2 linked regions of the Stegostoma tigrinum genome follow. The protein of the gene in region 2 interacts with the protein of the main gene of each other region in a pairwise test. Links are inferred from orthologs where the notes say so. Each region holds a gene or a part of one and is shown on either strand. Other genes may lie near its edges.

The links. The genes of interacting proteins can lie anywhere in the genome.
Region 1: the proteins of tmcc2 (region 2) and hspd1 interact in a two-hybrid assay, tested with the Homo sapiens proteins (2 studies listed by BioGRID). The two-hybrid records come from large-scale screens. The link is inferred for Stegostoma tigrinum from reciprocal best matches to the Homo sapiens genes TMCC2 and HSPD1.

Annotation. Positions count from the first base shown.
Region 1 is NC_081360.1:31,740,289-31,747,475, reverse strand, and holds the start of hspd1 (60 kDa heat shock protein, mitochondrial), read right to left. Parts: upstream 3,024-7,187; 5' UTR 2,900-3,023; intron 2,514-2,899; 5' UTR 2,511-2,513; coding exon 2,337-2,510; intron 1-2,336. Other genes in the region: hspe1 (10 kDa heat shock protein, mitochondrial), read left to right, coding at 3,563-3,565, 4,396-4,560, 4,885-4,974, 5,060-5,110. UniProt on the Homo sapiens protein: Chaperonin implicated in mitochondrial protein import and macromolecular assembly. Together with Hsp10, facilitates the correct folding of imported proteins.
Region 2 is NC_081374.1:8,083,533-8,090,945, forward strand, and holds the start of tmcc2 (transmembrane and coiled-coil domains protein 2), read right to left. Parts: upstream 3,018-7,413; 5' UTR 2,762-3,017; coding exon 2,750-2,761; coding exon of another isoform or gene 2,729-2,749; intron 2,615-2,728; coding exon 2,462-2,614; intron 1-2,461.

The DNA of each region.
Region 1 (7,187 bases), on a different chromosome or scaffold from region 2:
CACCTGCAGATCCACTAATGTGGTCTATTGGATTCACGGTTCTCGATGTGGCCTCTCGTTACATAGGCGAGACCAAGCAGAGGCTTGGAGACTTGTGTGGAGCACCTACGATCGGTTCGCAACAAATAACACCTTCCAGTCGCGAACCACTTCAATACCCCCTCCCACTCTCTGGAAGACACGCCTATCCTGGGCCTCCTCCTGCATCACAACGATGCCACCCAGAAACTGGAAAAACAACAACCTTATATTCCACCTTGAAACCCTCCAACTCAATGGTCTCAACGTGGACTTTCAGCTTCAAAATCTCCCCACTCCCGACCACGTCCTAAGAACAGCACCCCCCTCATCCCTGCCTCCTTGACCTGTCCATCTTCTCTCCCACCTAAGTGATCCACTATCCACTTTCTATCATCATCCCCTCTTTCTGTTTATTTCAGAGCCCCCTTCCCCTCTCCAATTTCTGAAGAAGGGTCCAGACTCAAAACATCAGCTTTCTGCTCCTCTGAAGCTGCCTGGACTGCTGAGTTCATCCAGCTCCACACCTTGTTATCTCAATTAAGTTAATCCTTTGTAAGAAATTGATTAGACTTTGTATTATGGTTAATAATGAAACAAGTGAGAGCAACGTTGACAGTGAATTTTTCAAGCAGGTAGAGTGACGAATGCTAATAGTTTATTAGAACAGTACTGTGACATGCAATCTCAGACTCCTATTGCAGTTGCCTTTTAGAAGATGTGGAATGAGGAATTTGTATTTTTAAGAGTGAAATTCTAGTTTCTAGCTGAAAGAAAACCAAAGAATGACTTTGCAGAAACTAGTGGTTTCTTCAGTGTTACAAGTTAACATAGCAAGCATTACTTGATGTGCTGGGACCACAATATAAAAATCAATTCATCACAATTCATTTTTCTCAGGGGCTTGAACAGAGGTAGTGACTTTTTTCAAGAATGTATAAACATTTAAGGGTAATTAAAACTGACACTAATTTAGTTTTTGTTTAAGAGCTCAAATCAAGCTTCTAATAAGAAGATCCATGCTATGGGACATACACACCATTTTTCTGGATTTTATTCTAAAGGAAAACTAACTGCAAAGAAAAAAACAGACAAAAACAAAGTTGCTGGAAAAGCTCAGCAGGTCTAGCAGCATCTGTGGAGGAGAAAACAGAGTTAACGTTCCGAGTCCAAGGACCCTTCCTCAGAACTGATGATGGCTGAGAAAACATCAGTTTATATGCAGAAAATAGGGAGGTGGGTGGATAGGAGTAAATGATAGGATAGAGCCCGAAGAGAGAGAAAGACAGTTGACAGACAAAGGAGTTGCTAGCAATCAGGCTGGGAGGGCGAATAGTTGTTAATGGGGACTGTTAGGTGACTAACAAGGGGAGCTGAGTCAAGGTAGGAAGAGATGAGTTCCGTGGGGCATGAGCAGGCTGAAACAATGGGTCTATCTGAACAGTCCCATTTGTGGATTTCTGACAGCAGGTAGAAATCAGCTGTGCGGGTTTGGGGGACTATTAGCTTTGGAGCTGATTTGGGGGGGGGGGGGGGAGAAGAGAAGAGAAGAGAGATCACCAGATGAAATGAGATCCGTAACCACAGTGGATACAACGGCCTGATGCGCCATGGTAGGGTCATGGTCCAGGGGAAGTTAAGTGGTGGTATTGGAGAGCTGGTGCTCAGTTTCTGCAAGGCAGAGGTCAGTACACCAGACAACAGCGCCACCCTTATCGGCAGGCTTGATGACAAAGTTAGGGTTAGATCTGCAAAAAAATGAGAGTTCCTTTTTCTCAAAGAATGAGGAAAGTTTGTCCATTGCTCAATTAATTTAATATCTCTTGATAAATTTTTAAATTTGGCATACATCGTTCTTGGTGGCTTGGTTCAGACATGAATTTTTCATGCACGTCACCAAACAGCAGACTCAAAATTCACTGCATCAAGTCCCAGTTGCAGCCTCAGTTATTGTTATCAAAATATAAATCACTATCCACCTGTCTTGTGATGGGCAGCTCATGCTAATGTGGTATACTGAAGATTATGACAATGTTGCAGCTTCAAATTGTGGCTATGAATATTTTTGAAGGTTCTCAAATAACTGTGGCCATTCTACTATTAAGTATTAATAATCCTAACTGTTTTTGTCAAAAAAGATAAAGTACATGTCCAAAGCCAATCCTGCATCATCAACAGTTTTACTATTTCTATTGATGTCGGCATTATCTAACGCAATGAGTACTTATTCTAGTTTTGAGGAGCATAAATATTTTGGAATGTTTCCATAATATCAAACTGCATATTGAGTTCTAAGCCCACAGTAGACGCTGACCCACCTTTGGTCCCATGGTTACAGCCACTGCATCGGCGAGAAGATCAACTCCTTTCAGCATCATAGCCCGAGCTTCGGATCCGAATTTTACATCTTTGGCGTAAGCTCGTGCATGATGAGGTGCAAGTAGACGAGTTACAGGCCTTACCTGGCGTAGAACGGTTGGCAAACGGAGCATTATCTGCAGTGGAGAAGAGAAATAATACCGATCAACCTTTTAACTACACGTTAAATTTTTTAAAAGCGTATGGTGTCAGTAACATGGGCCTCCCCACACGTCGCTAGGGGACACACGTCACAAGGTCAAATTAAAGTACTTCAACAATCCGCAAAATAACGAGGAATGCAAAACAAAAGTAACTAATATGCCTCAAATTAGACTAAGAGAGACTTCAGGTCTGTAAAGATAACATGTAACTGCTAGTCTGTCTAACATCCAGCATTGGAACTCTGATTCCTCGTCTTCATTCATTGTCTCAATCCATTGGCATAGAAGGAAACGCCTGTAGCTTGCAAAATTTTTCAAAAATATACGAACCAAACCGATTTCTGCATAATACCACTTACTAAAATGTTTATTTAGAAAAACAAGTAGTAAACAAGACAGTAATAGCCCTAGCTTCAACCAAATTCCACAGCTACGCAAACTACACAACCGCCAGGACTGAGCCCAAGTCTCACTCGGAGAACACGTGGGTTTGCAGCGGGGAGAAGTCTCCGCCCGCCCCTTACTCTGGATACTCTAACACCACCAACACTTCCAGGTACACAGCTGCCAAAACATTTCGACAAGCAAATAGCCACCTACTCACTACCACCAATGGATATCCCAGCACCAGACTCATAGGATTTAGTACCAACTTGTAACTAAAAGCAGGCACGCGAAGCAGTTCATATACAGCTTCAGGGGTTCGAGTTCCAGAAACTTCCAGACGCTTAACGTAGGTTGGGTCAAAGTGCACAGTTCTATTGCGCAATAATTTTATTTCTTGATTTCTTCTCTAAAATTGCAACAAAATTTACTTTGGGTGTTTATGAGTGTAAAATGCTGCCAAAGTTTTGCTCAGGTGTGGATTTCAGTTTAGAAAATGCCTCTGAAATGTAACATTCCTCTGACGTTCGAGGTCATGTCTTCGGGTTCGAAGGTATTTCCTCACGTGGAGAGACTGCCATAATTGCTGCTGCAGGGAGGTGTCTTATTTCTAGTGCTTTCTGGAAGTGGTAGCAGGCATGGTAAGCTTACGTTTTTGTTTGTGATATACTGAATGAGAAGAATAAACCGATTTACGTATTGTTCTTGATAAGTATTTTTGTGACTTCCTGATGTTGAAATGGTAAGTTGCGTTGTTTTAAATCCAGTTGAGCATGTGCTGGATACAAAATAATTTATCGTGTTTGATAGCTCAGTTCAAACAGGGAATATGATCCTTTTGAAATATTCCTACTCTAGCAGGGAAATGATTCGCCAGGCCACCGACTGGTTACAATCCTGATGAATGAAAGGACAAATGTGCTTGTGACCTGTCTCGCTACTACAGATCAGTTTGTAACAAAAGTAATGGATTGAAGAACTACGTTTGTTACTATGTAACCACACCGACATTTGGATAAAAATGATGATCTGTTACGTGCAACTTATTTAACGATTTTAGATTTGATGTTGGGGACAGTTTCAAGGTCAAATGAGCTTGATTTTTAAATGTCCTCAACATTTATGTTGAGAAATAATTTTTTTCCATATTAATATCTTCAGCTGCTGTTTTACGCCCTTCTTAAGGTAATATGTTACATTTTCAGCATTTGGATCATGGTTTTTTATTTCTAATGATGTTACATTTAGGAGTTTATTTTATATATATTCATAATAGCTGTGAAAACTAAGCTAACAGTCTAAGGACAGGTTATCTAGTTCTTTATAACAAAAAAATTCAGCTATCACTTTTTCTCTCAAGATTCATTTTGGGTTGACCTTTTTATTTGTAGATCTCAGAAGTGGTAAAGCTTTCAATATGTGGTCTGTAACCTGTTGGTTAATAGGTAACTGAAACGTTTTATTTTAACAGGCAGGACAGGCATTTAAAAAGTTTCTGCCCCTTTTTGACCGTGTTTTGGTGGAAAGGGTGGCAGCAGAGAAGGTAACAAAAGGTGGCATCATGCTTCCAGAAAAATCCCAGGGTAAAGTACTTCAAGCAACAGTTGTAGCAGTTGGACCTGGCAGCCGAGTAAAGGTAGTTTTCTGAAAACAAAATCCTAATCAACTAAATGCTTGTGATTATTACATTAACAAAGTCTGATCCAATAGATTATATTTTTATACTGTGTTCCAAAGTGGCCTGCTGTTTTGTTTTATTAAGTTTAGGTATAATTTCTCTTAGGTATAATTAGAAAGCTTATCTGTGAATTTGCAGCAAGTTACAAGTACTACTACTTGTAACTTGCTGCAAATTCACAGATAAGCAAAAAGTGCAAATTTCTGTACGGTGCATTATAAACTTTGGCTAGAGCACTGTTCACAAACATTAATTTGTGGATCATTTGCATTTTCATTTCAGAATGGTGATATTCACCCCGTTAATGTAAAAGTTGGTGAAACAGTTCTACTCCCAGAATATGGAGGGACTAAAGTTGTCTTGGATGATAAGGTTGGTACTATTGTCTTAGTAGTTCTTTTGACTGTATTTAGAAATTGATTTCTTTCTCCTTGATGATTTTTATTTTCTTCCTCAGGATTACTACTTGTTTAGAGATGGAGATATTCTTGGAAAATACACAGCATGAATGTTGGATGTTTCTTTCAGTTTTAAGAAACTGGCCATTCCATGAAGTTGCTGTCTTTTTGTCTTAGTCTGTAAATACCACTTTTTCCAGCTTTGGTACAATAAATTCAATGTCAAACACACAAGTTTCTGTTTTACTGTGATTGATCTCATTGCTAGTTGAATTTTCCAATAATAAACATAAAATTATGAATCTAAACTAGTCAACTTGTTTCAGAAGTGATTCATTTCACTTTGAAAACTCCAACTTTTGAAAGGGTGGCAGTAAAATCACTTGGTAAATGTGCCATGGACATCTGGAAAATGCATCTAAGACTGTCAATATGACTACAGTGATCTGCAGAAGTACTAGTTCATTTTGCATGAAACACACAAGTATTTCAATACATTCTAAGTGAGGAATTTTCTTTATCGTTGCTCATTTTTAAAATCCTCATTCTGTACTGTCCGTCCAAGACTACCCTAATTATAAGATGCTCATTCTTTACATCCTTCAGCTTTGCCTCATTGAAAACACCAACAATCACAATCTCACTGCTTTTTCTCCTCCTCTTCCTATAATTCTGTTTAAAGGCAGTCCTTTGTGTTGTCTTGTGACCTGTTTCCATCATTTAATATATATGACAACATCTGTTTGCTGCTTTTTCTAATTGCTCTCAGCTCTCTCCTACCCTCAGTTCCTTCCAGGTATAACCTGGAAGAAACTCCAATTAAAATGCTATTTTCAGCTGCTCATTGGCCTTCTGTTAGCCGCGCTACTTCATCTTTTGATCTGTGCACTTGCTCTGTCGCCTCCCCTGTTGATTGATTATTTTCACCTCCATAATGTCCTTTCTCTCTGGTTATTTAGCCCCAGCTTTACTTCAGTTCAAGGGGTATTTAGTACATGTGGTGCACAACTGGTTTGGCCATTCACAGTCAGGCTAGATGTAATCATATGAAACATTATTGGATCTTGCTCACTTCTACTAAAATTGCTCCATACACCAGGATCATCCTGGAAAAACAAGGATATATAGTTGTTTATTCATCAACAGCTTTCTTAAAGCTATACCTGAAACAATATCTGGAGCCCTTTTTAATGTAATGAAACATTAAAGGTGTTGGGACAGTGCATTATTTTAAGAAAAACAGGACACAGAGCTACATGAAATTAAATGAACAATTGATCAAAGTGGGAGGCTTTGAGGAGTGTCTCAAAAAAGGCAAGTGAGGTAGAGAAGTGGAGAGGTGTACTTAATTTACTTGACCTTTTTGGACATGTTCATGATGTGACTGGGGCAGATGGGACGAGAAGCCAGCTATGTTGGACCAGAGACGGTGCTACCGTAACAGCCCTTTGTGAATTCAAATTTCACCACTGCCATGGTGGGATTTTAACCCATGTTTCCCAGAAGATTAACTTGGAGAGTCTGGATTACTTGTCCAATGACATCACTGCTGTCTCTTTGCTACGTATGTCTAAATTTGCATTAGGTCCTGTCACTCTGTAACTCTTCTTTCATGAATGGATGATAAATAATGAGTCTGATAATAAGGCAACGATTGAAGTGTGCTAATAGAACTGGGTGTTATCAGGCTACATGTAAAAAAAATTGCATTGTCTTTAACTGATGTTGAAAAAAGCAGCATGTAGACGAGAAATGGGAAGGCATTGTCAAAGATCGATCCTAGAAAAAATGAGAGATAATGTTGTTGGAGCAGGAAGAGAAGCCATTCCAAATGATAAGCAAAACCAGAAATTGCGGGAAAAAACAAGGCAAGCCTGGCAGCATCAGTGAAGAGAAAGCAGTTAACATTTCAGTTCCAGGGATCCAGTGATCCTCCTTCAGAACTTGTTTCATTTCTGAAGAAGGGTCACTGGACTCAAGAGTTAACTCTGCTTTCTCTACAAAGATGCCAGACCAGGTGAATTTTTCCAGCAATTTCAGGTCTTGCTTCTGACTCCAGCATTCACAGTTCTTTCGGTTTTCCATTTTGAATGATTCTCTGGTTATGTTTAGATAAGAATAGAATCATTAGAGAACAGTTTCAATCTGCTGAGTAACAGTGCAGAGATGTTGGAGGATGGTAATGTC
Region 2 (7,413 bases):
AGAAAAATCTTGGCGCATAATTTATTTAGGAAAATCCTGAAATTCTTATCTACATTAACAGGTCTCAACTAAGTGGAGATGAAACCTAGAAATACTGCACTGAATGCCAGAGAAGGCTCAAAAAGCCATATGATCCACTTCTGCTCCGATCTTGTGTGTAAAAGGGAGTGTCAGACTGAAATATTTCAGGAGAGGAAGAATTGTCATTCTTGGGCCTCAACATAAATGACTGGCATCAAATTGCCACCTGTGCTTCATTTTGTTTTAAACAAAATTAGCAGATATAGAACATGACCAGTGTGAACAAGGCTTTTTAAGTCAACCACACTCAACCTCCTTCAAAGTAAGAATTGTCCTCAAATAAAACACTAAGCATTGAAACAATCCCACTGTTACATAATGGCAGACGAGTAGAGGATTATTTGTGTCATGGTGTTAGGATGAAGGATCAGAACCCTGACGTATTTAAGGATGTATTCAACTTGTAATTGCAACATGTATTTCTCAAAGAATGGACATGTAGCCAAAAAATAAATCAGTAGATATAATTCCAGCAGCTGTTTGGAAGAGAGTCCTGGAATATCACATTTAAAGGTACCTATCTGGGACTGTATTAATTTAGGAAACACTGCCTAGAAATTGATCATATTAATGATGCAAGAAATGCTGATGCACACACTACAAAACTTTTAATTTAAAATTGAAAATGAGTGAAGCACGGGGTGGGAGCAAAATGTAGGAGGAAGAGGAAGACAGACAGAATGCAAAAAAACAGGGCCTTGAATCAGCTCTCTAAGCCATCGTCACAAACAGATAAAATGTACAGCACATAGAAACTATGGTAGATGACATGCGAGAAAAACAATGGAAAAGCCACTAAACAGACTTCAAATTGTTATTCTGAGTAAAGTTACCCCATGCATGACAAATATGAATTTGCACGAGAAAGGAATTAGAATGACTACTTAGAATTAGTTCATTAGTATTATTACTATTATAGTGGCATCTAAGAGTTTAGTTTTATTTTCCTTCCAGGTATAGCTGAGGTTTGGAACACAGCAATACAACACTGGTATCTATTATTCATAGTAAACTAAAAACATTGTTCAAAATGATAGTGATGTAGTAGAAACGAATAGCCCAAGTTATTAATCTTCCTTCCCCATTGAAATAAGAGCATTCTGTTCAATGTCATATGCTGAACTAAGCTCTATTTATAACAATTCACCACAATGAAAGCACAAGGGGGGGCAATAATGACTGCAGTGAATGACCATTGGTGAATAACAAAACAATAATGGATTTGAGAGATTCAGACACTATCAAAAAATCGTATAATTGAAACATGTCCAATTTACTTTCACAATTCAAAGACTGGATTCGAGTTCTAAGTTCTTTGTCAATCACTCATTCCACTTAAAAAGTGAATCAGTTATACTTTTATTAAACAAAAATTACGGAAGGTGACTGGATTTATTTGAATTGCAACTTTAATCTTCAGAAATCTATTTCTTGTGCCATGATTCTTAATTAAATAGCTGACTTGAATTATTATTCCTTTTGTATAATCTAAAGCAGCAAGTCTCTGCAGGCTTCTTGACTGTGCTGGATTGGTTGAAGACGATGTTGTAGTGAACTGATCTACCCACACCCACTATCCAACAGGATTTACTGGATAGTTATGAAGATAGGGTTGATTTTCCACTCTGCTGGAACAGAGGCGGTGGCCATCTGCCCCACCCAGACAGATTATAGCCCAGCTGAAATGAAGAAACAGCACAGATCACCAGAGTCACTTTGGCTCAAAGGACACCACTTTGGGCAGCATGCATGATTGAAATTTAATTTGAACACTTAAATATGCACAAACTGTATCTTTTGCAGGACTTTTCAGCTGTGATCCCAGTTGTTTACATTATCAGGAATAACAATTCCTCAGTGCCCAATTACTCAACCTTATATTTCCATTGCAAAAATGCAGATTAAAAACATAGCTAATTATTTAAACCATAAAAATCACTAATAAAGAGTCATTCAGTAGTTTTCAAACCACCTCTCAGCACAATATGAGGTTAGCAAAGACTTACTCAGAGGCGGGGTTAAATCTGAAACCAGACGAAACACACCCTTGATTCTTCTTTACCTTAAATCTAATTGTCTTAGTCATCAGCCCCTTAATCACTTTTGTGTCAGTTGGGATAAAACAAGCCAAAGGTAGTGAGCAATAACATCAGGTAAGACAAAGCATCCCGCACAATTAAAAGTTTGAAAGCAACCTGCTTTTGCATAGCACCTTGGCAGACAGCAAGATACCCAAAGGTGCATTTTAGGAGATGCAGCAGGCAAAAATTTGGAGCTACACGAGGGCAAAAGGCAGAAAGCCCAAAAGAAGAGGTAGGATTTTCACCAGCCTATGTTATTATTATGAGTAAAGAAGGAAGAGCTTATTTATTCGCTGTACCTTCAAGTCTTGAGCTCTGTTGTTGCGGGATGGACAGGCAGCATCTGCTGGCGTAGCATCACCCTGCTGCTTGAGCGCTGTATCAGCACCAACTCCCAGCTTCGACCCCTGCTCCTCATCCAGGGGCAGTTCGTCAGACTTGCACCGCTTCATCTGCAAAATAAAAGGGAGGTGGTGGTGGGCTAAAAGTGGGATCTTGCTGTATTCAGCTAGTAAAGCTCCTACAGAAACGAGAATCAAAAGAGAAAACCCTGAATTAAACATTACCAGTGACTTAAAAAAACGTACTCGCCCATCCATTTCAATCTTCCATCCCAATTACAAGATGAAATTAAGACTTTCGGGAAAATTTTCATGGCGACACCGCCTTTCGATTTCCAGCAGGAAAATTACCTCGGCGGCTCAAATGCACAACAGTTTCCCTCATGAATTTACAAATCCAGCGGATTTAAGTAAACGCCGATAGAAATTTACATCTTTTTTTAACCGCCATCACCAAAGCCCCTTCGACGCACCACCGTCTGACTGAGAGGAACAGCCATGTCCGCGGGCTGAAGCGGGGGCGGGACTAAAGGAAACCCCGCCCCCTTCGTGTCGCCAACCAAACCTGCCGCCTACCGGAAGTGTCTGCCGATGACGATTGACACGCTCGCTACCCAATCGGAATCGGGAGATGTGTGAGTAGGTGTGGGTGGGGCTTGTGGGACCACATTCAAGGTAGGTTGCAGCTCCGTAGGATTTTTTTTCTCATTGCCTTACCCTCCCACTCGTATGGATGGAGAGGGAGGAACTTGCCTCTTCGCTGGAGCACATCTGCACTACAAAGGCATGTAATACTGTACAGCATATAGTAACAATAGCTTGCATTAATGTGGCTCACAGAGAGCTTACAGGAGTATGATGTCCCAAATTTTGGTCTTTGGGCCTGATAAGGCCGCGTCTGGGGTAGCTGGACCAACACCTTGGCCAGTGACAATTGGATGATAATTTTCCTTTTCAGATAATAGTTTCACGGGGAGAAGGTGGAGGAATGACAGTAGGTGCATTACTCATTCAGAGAGCTGGCACAGTCACGATGAGCTGAATGAGCTCTTACAATTCCGTGAATTCTGTAAATGGGGGAGGTGAGGTGTTGGTTGAGAAGCTTTGCGATGAGAGGTTGTAGCAAGGAATTTCAGAGCCGGGAACCCAGGCAAATTAAGTCACTGTCTCTGAGCTGGGGTGGAGTGATCTAAATTGGAGACACACAAAAAGCCACAACACATACATATTACCTATCAGATGGGAATCAAGGGATGTGTTCCGCCTCTCTACCACTTGGTAAATATCTATTTACCAATGTACTTAAATATACTTAACAGATTTTCAGAAGTTTTTAAAGACAGGATATGAAGGAAATGCTGGCCTTTATTTGAAATGTAATGTCGTATAAAAATAGAGAAGTCTTGCTAACCTATACAAGGCATTCGTCAGACCATAGTTGGAATACTGTAAACAGTTTTGGCCTCTTTATCTAAGGAGGGATATACGTGGCATTGGAGGCAGTGTAGAGAACATTCACCAAGTTGATCCCAGGTATGGACAGATTTTCTTATGAGATCAGATTGAGTAGCTAGGATTGAATTCATTGGAGTTTAGAAGAATGAAAAGCAATGTTATTGAAACATATCAGTATTCTTAGGGGACTTGACTGGAGAGATTTTGTTCTAATGGGAGAGTATAGAACCAGAGGATATTTTAAGCGCAGTCGCTTGTGCTGTGGCAAAATGCAGTCCTGACTTTGAAAACAGGCCCCACCAACAGCAACGAGATCAATTGCTATTAAGCTATTTTAAGAGACTTGTTGATTAAAGTTTAATAATTGATCACTCCTCATTAAATAGTACCAGAGGAACTTTTACGTTCAGTCACAGTGAGGTACAGATAGGAATACTGCTGAAAAGAGAGGCTTGTTTTTCTTATACTCTTGAGGAAAACTCAAGAATATCAAATTTGAAACAATCACAATGTAAGTCTTGTACCTTTTCTGAATTCCCAAAGAGAATGGGGACCTATCCATTTTGTTTTCTGCATGTTAACATCAAAGACAACTTGTCAACCAATCAGCACCCACTTCTCCAACGGCATAAATTCTGGAGTTCATTTGAAATTTGGCATTCTTGTGTTTATCCTGAAGACAAAGGCTTTGACAATACATGTCTCTTTTCAGCAATATTCAAGTACTGTACTATGAACTACTCATAGAATTGTTAGAGCACAGAAGGAGGCCATTTCAGGGCATTCATGATCCCAGTCACTCACTTTTGAAAAAAGATTTCTTTTTGTGCCTGTTATGGTTCTCTGCCAATCATCAAGTTGTTGCTTCTGATTGTTGACTTTCTGCTAATGTGAACAGTTCCTCACTGTTTACTCTGTCTAGATACCTCATACATTTGAACATCTCCTCATCTCCAAAGATGACAACCTCAGCTTCTACAATTATCTATGTAATTTAAGTCCCTTGTACCTGATCTATTCTTAAAAATCTTCTGTGCATCTTTTATAATACCACCACAAATTTTTTAAAGTGTGCTGTCCAAGACTGGACACAATACTCCGTTAAAGGTCAAACCAATGTTTCATGTAGTTTTATCACAACAGCTGTGTTTTTATACTTCTTGTCCTCATTTATAAATCCTAGAATATTGTATGCTTTATTAACCATTTTTTCAACCTGCTATTGTCAGCTTTAATGGTCTCTGAACATACATCCCCATGCCCCTCTGTGGCCTGCACATCCTATAGAATGGTATGCTTTATTTTATGAAGTCTTTCCCCATCCTTCGAAATCAAAGCATTTCATACTTCTCTGTATCAAATCTCATTCTGTTTCTGTTACTCCCATAAGTCTGTCTATGATCTCCTGAATTTTACCACTATTCTCACATAACACAATAATTACATCGTTTGTAACATCTGCAGATTTTGAGGTGGTGTCCTATGCACAGCAGCCGTGCCAGCAACATGCATCAAAAGAGCAACAGAACTGATAACAATCTCTGGCAAACGTAACTAAAATGTTTCCTCCATTCCAAAAGAAAGAATCATCCACAAGTACTCTGTTACCTGTACCTCAGCCAATTTTATATCCAAGATATTACTGTCACATTTGTCTCCTTACCTCTAGCTTTGCTAAAAGGTTTGATATGTGGAACCAGATGCCCTTTGGAAGTCCAAGCACACTACAGTGATTTCATTGTTCTCATTGCTCTCTGTGCTATCTCACCAAAAAAACTTAAATATGGTATTCCCTCTATAAGTCTATGCTGGTTTTCCTGAATTAATCAAGATATGTTAAAACATTCAAGGCGTGGGCCTGGTGCTGAAAAGTGGGGCTAGTTAGATTCAGTGTAGCTTTGGCGGTACAGACTTGATAGACCATAGGCCCTCTTTTGTATTGTATGATTCTATTAACTTGAATACTATTGAACAAACATATTGCTGAAGATCTTTGTCTTGTGTCTATCCAAGTGATTGTTAATGTTGTCCCAAATTATTGTTTCTCAAAGCTTTTACAAAACCAAGGTTAAATAAACTGATTATACAATTACTGGGTTTATCCTTGTGTCTTTTTTTGAAGAAGAGTGTAACATTTGAAATTCTCCAGTTCAGTGCTGACACCACCTCTGTGTCTAATGAGGATTCAAAGACATGGTCAGTGCCTGTCCAATTTCCTTACTTCCCTCATCCAGACAGGCAATCTAATATCCTCTCCTTATAAAATTTTAGTCTCTCAAGCTTCCAACGACTGTCTCCTCAATCATGGCTTCACCAGCACCTTCTGGGGTGCATGGGGTGGCACAGTGGTTCAGTGATTAGCACTGCTGCCTCACAGTGCCAGAAACCCTGGCTCGATTCCATCCTTGGGTAACTGTCTGTGTGGAGTTTGTGCATTCTCCCCATGTTTGCATGGGTTTTCTCCATTCTCTCCTGTTTCCTCCAAAGATGTACAGGTTAGGTAGATTGGCCATTGGAAAAACAGAGCTACAGGGACAGAATGGATACTGTTCAGAGCATTGGTGTGGACTTGATGAGCCAAATGGTCTGCTTCCACACAGTAGAGATTCTATGACTCCACGATTCTTTCTTGGTTAAGACAAATGTGAAGTTCTTAAATTATACTTTAGCCATGCCTACTGCCTGACTGTTAAATCCTTCTTAGCACTCCTGCAGAATCCAGTTCTCCTTTGAAACTCATTTACTATTTACAGTATAGTTTTGGATTTCTGTGTACAAAGAAGCCTATTTTTAAGGCCTATTTATTTCGACATCTAAATTTATGCAGTTGACCACAAAAAGATGAAGAAGGCAACTTAAATCACAATTTTAAAAAGGCATTTGACAAACATATTTATGATGTGAAAATAGAACATGTATATAATAGTTTAAGTATAACACGATAAGCAATTAAAATGGGTAGCATGCGAAATCTGCAGATGGGTGGAATGAATATTGATTGGTTGTTGTCACAGGCATGGTGTCATTACGGGTGAGAAAACCCAGAGTAGATTTATTTGAATTGTCCCTGAGGATGAAATCAATTAATCTTGTGTATAGCCACAGAGACTATTAAAGTAACTTTTCAAATTGAATGCTTTAAGTAAGAATAAATTAATATTATGAAATAGTGATGTTACACTAGTTGGTTCGTGTCCCTGACTATTGTTTTTCTCCTTAGTATTTTGTGTACTTCAATGTGTGTGTGTGTGTGTGTGTGTGTGTGTGTGTGTGTATCCTATTCCCTACTTCTCTCTTCTGCTGAAGGCATGAATCCAAATCAAAGTCAGCAGGTTATCCAGCCGAAAAACCAATTTCACATATGCCAGTGTAATGCAGAGTTCTGACAGTTATTCAACTGGCAGGGTGAACTAGACAAAGGGCAGGAGATTAATGATGAATTTAAACGAGAGCCT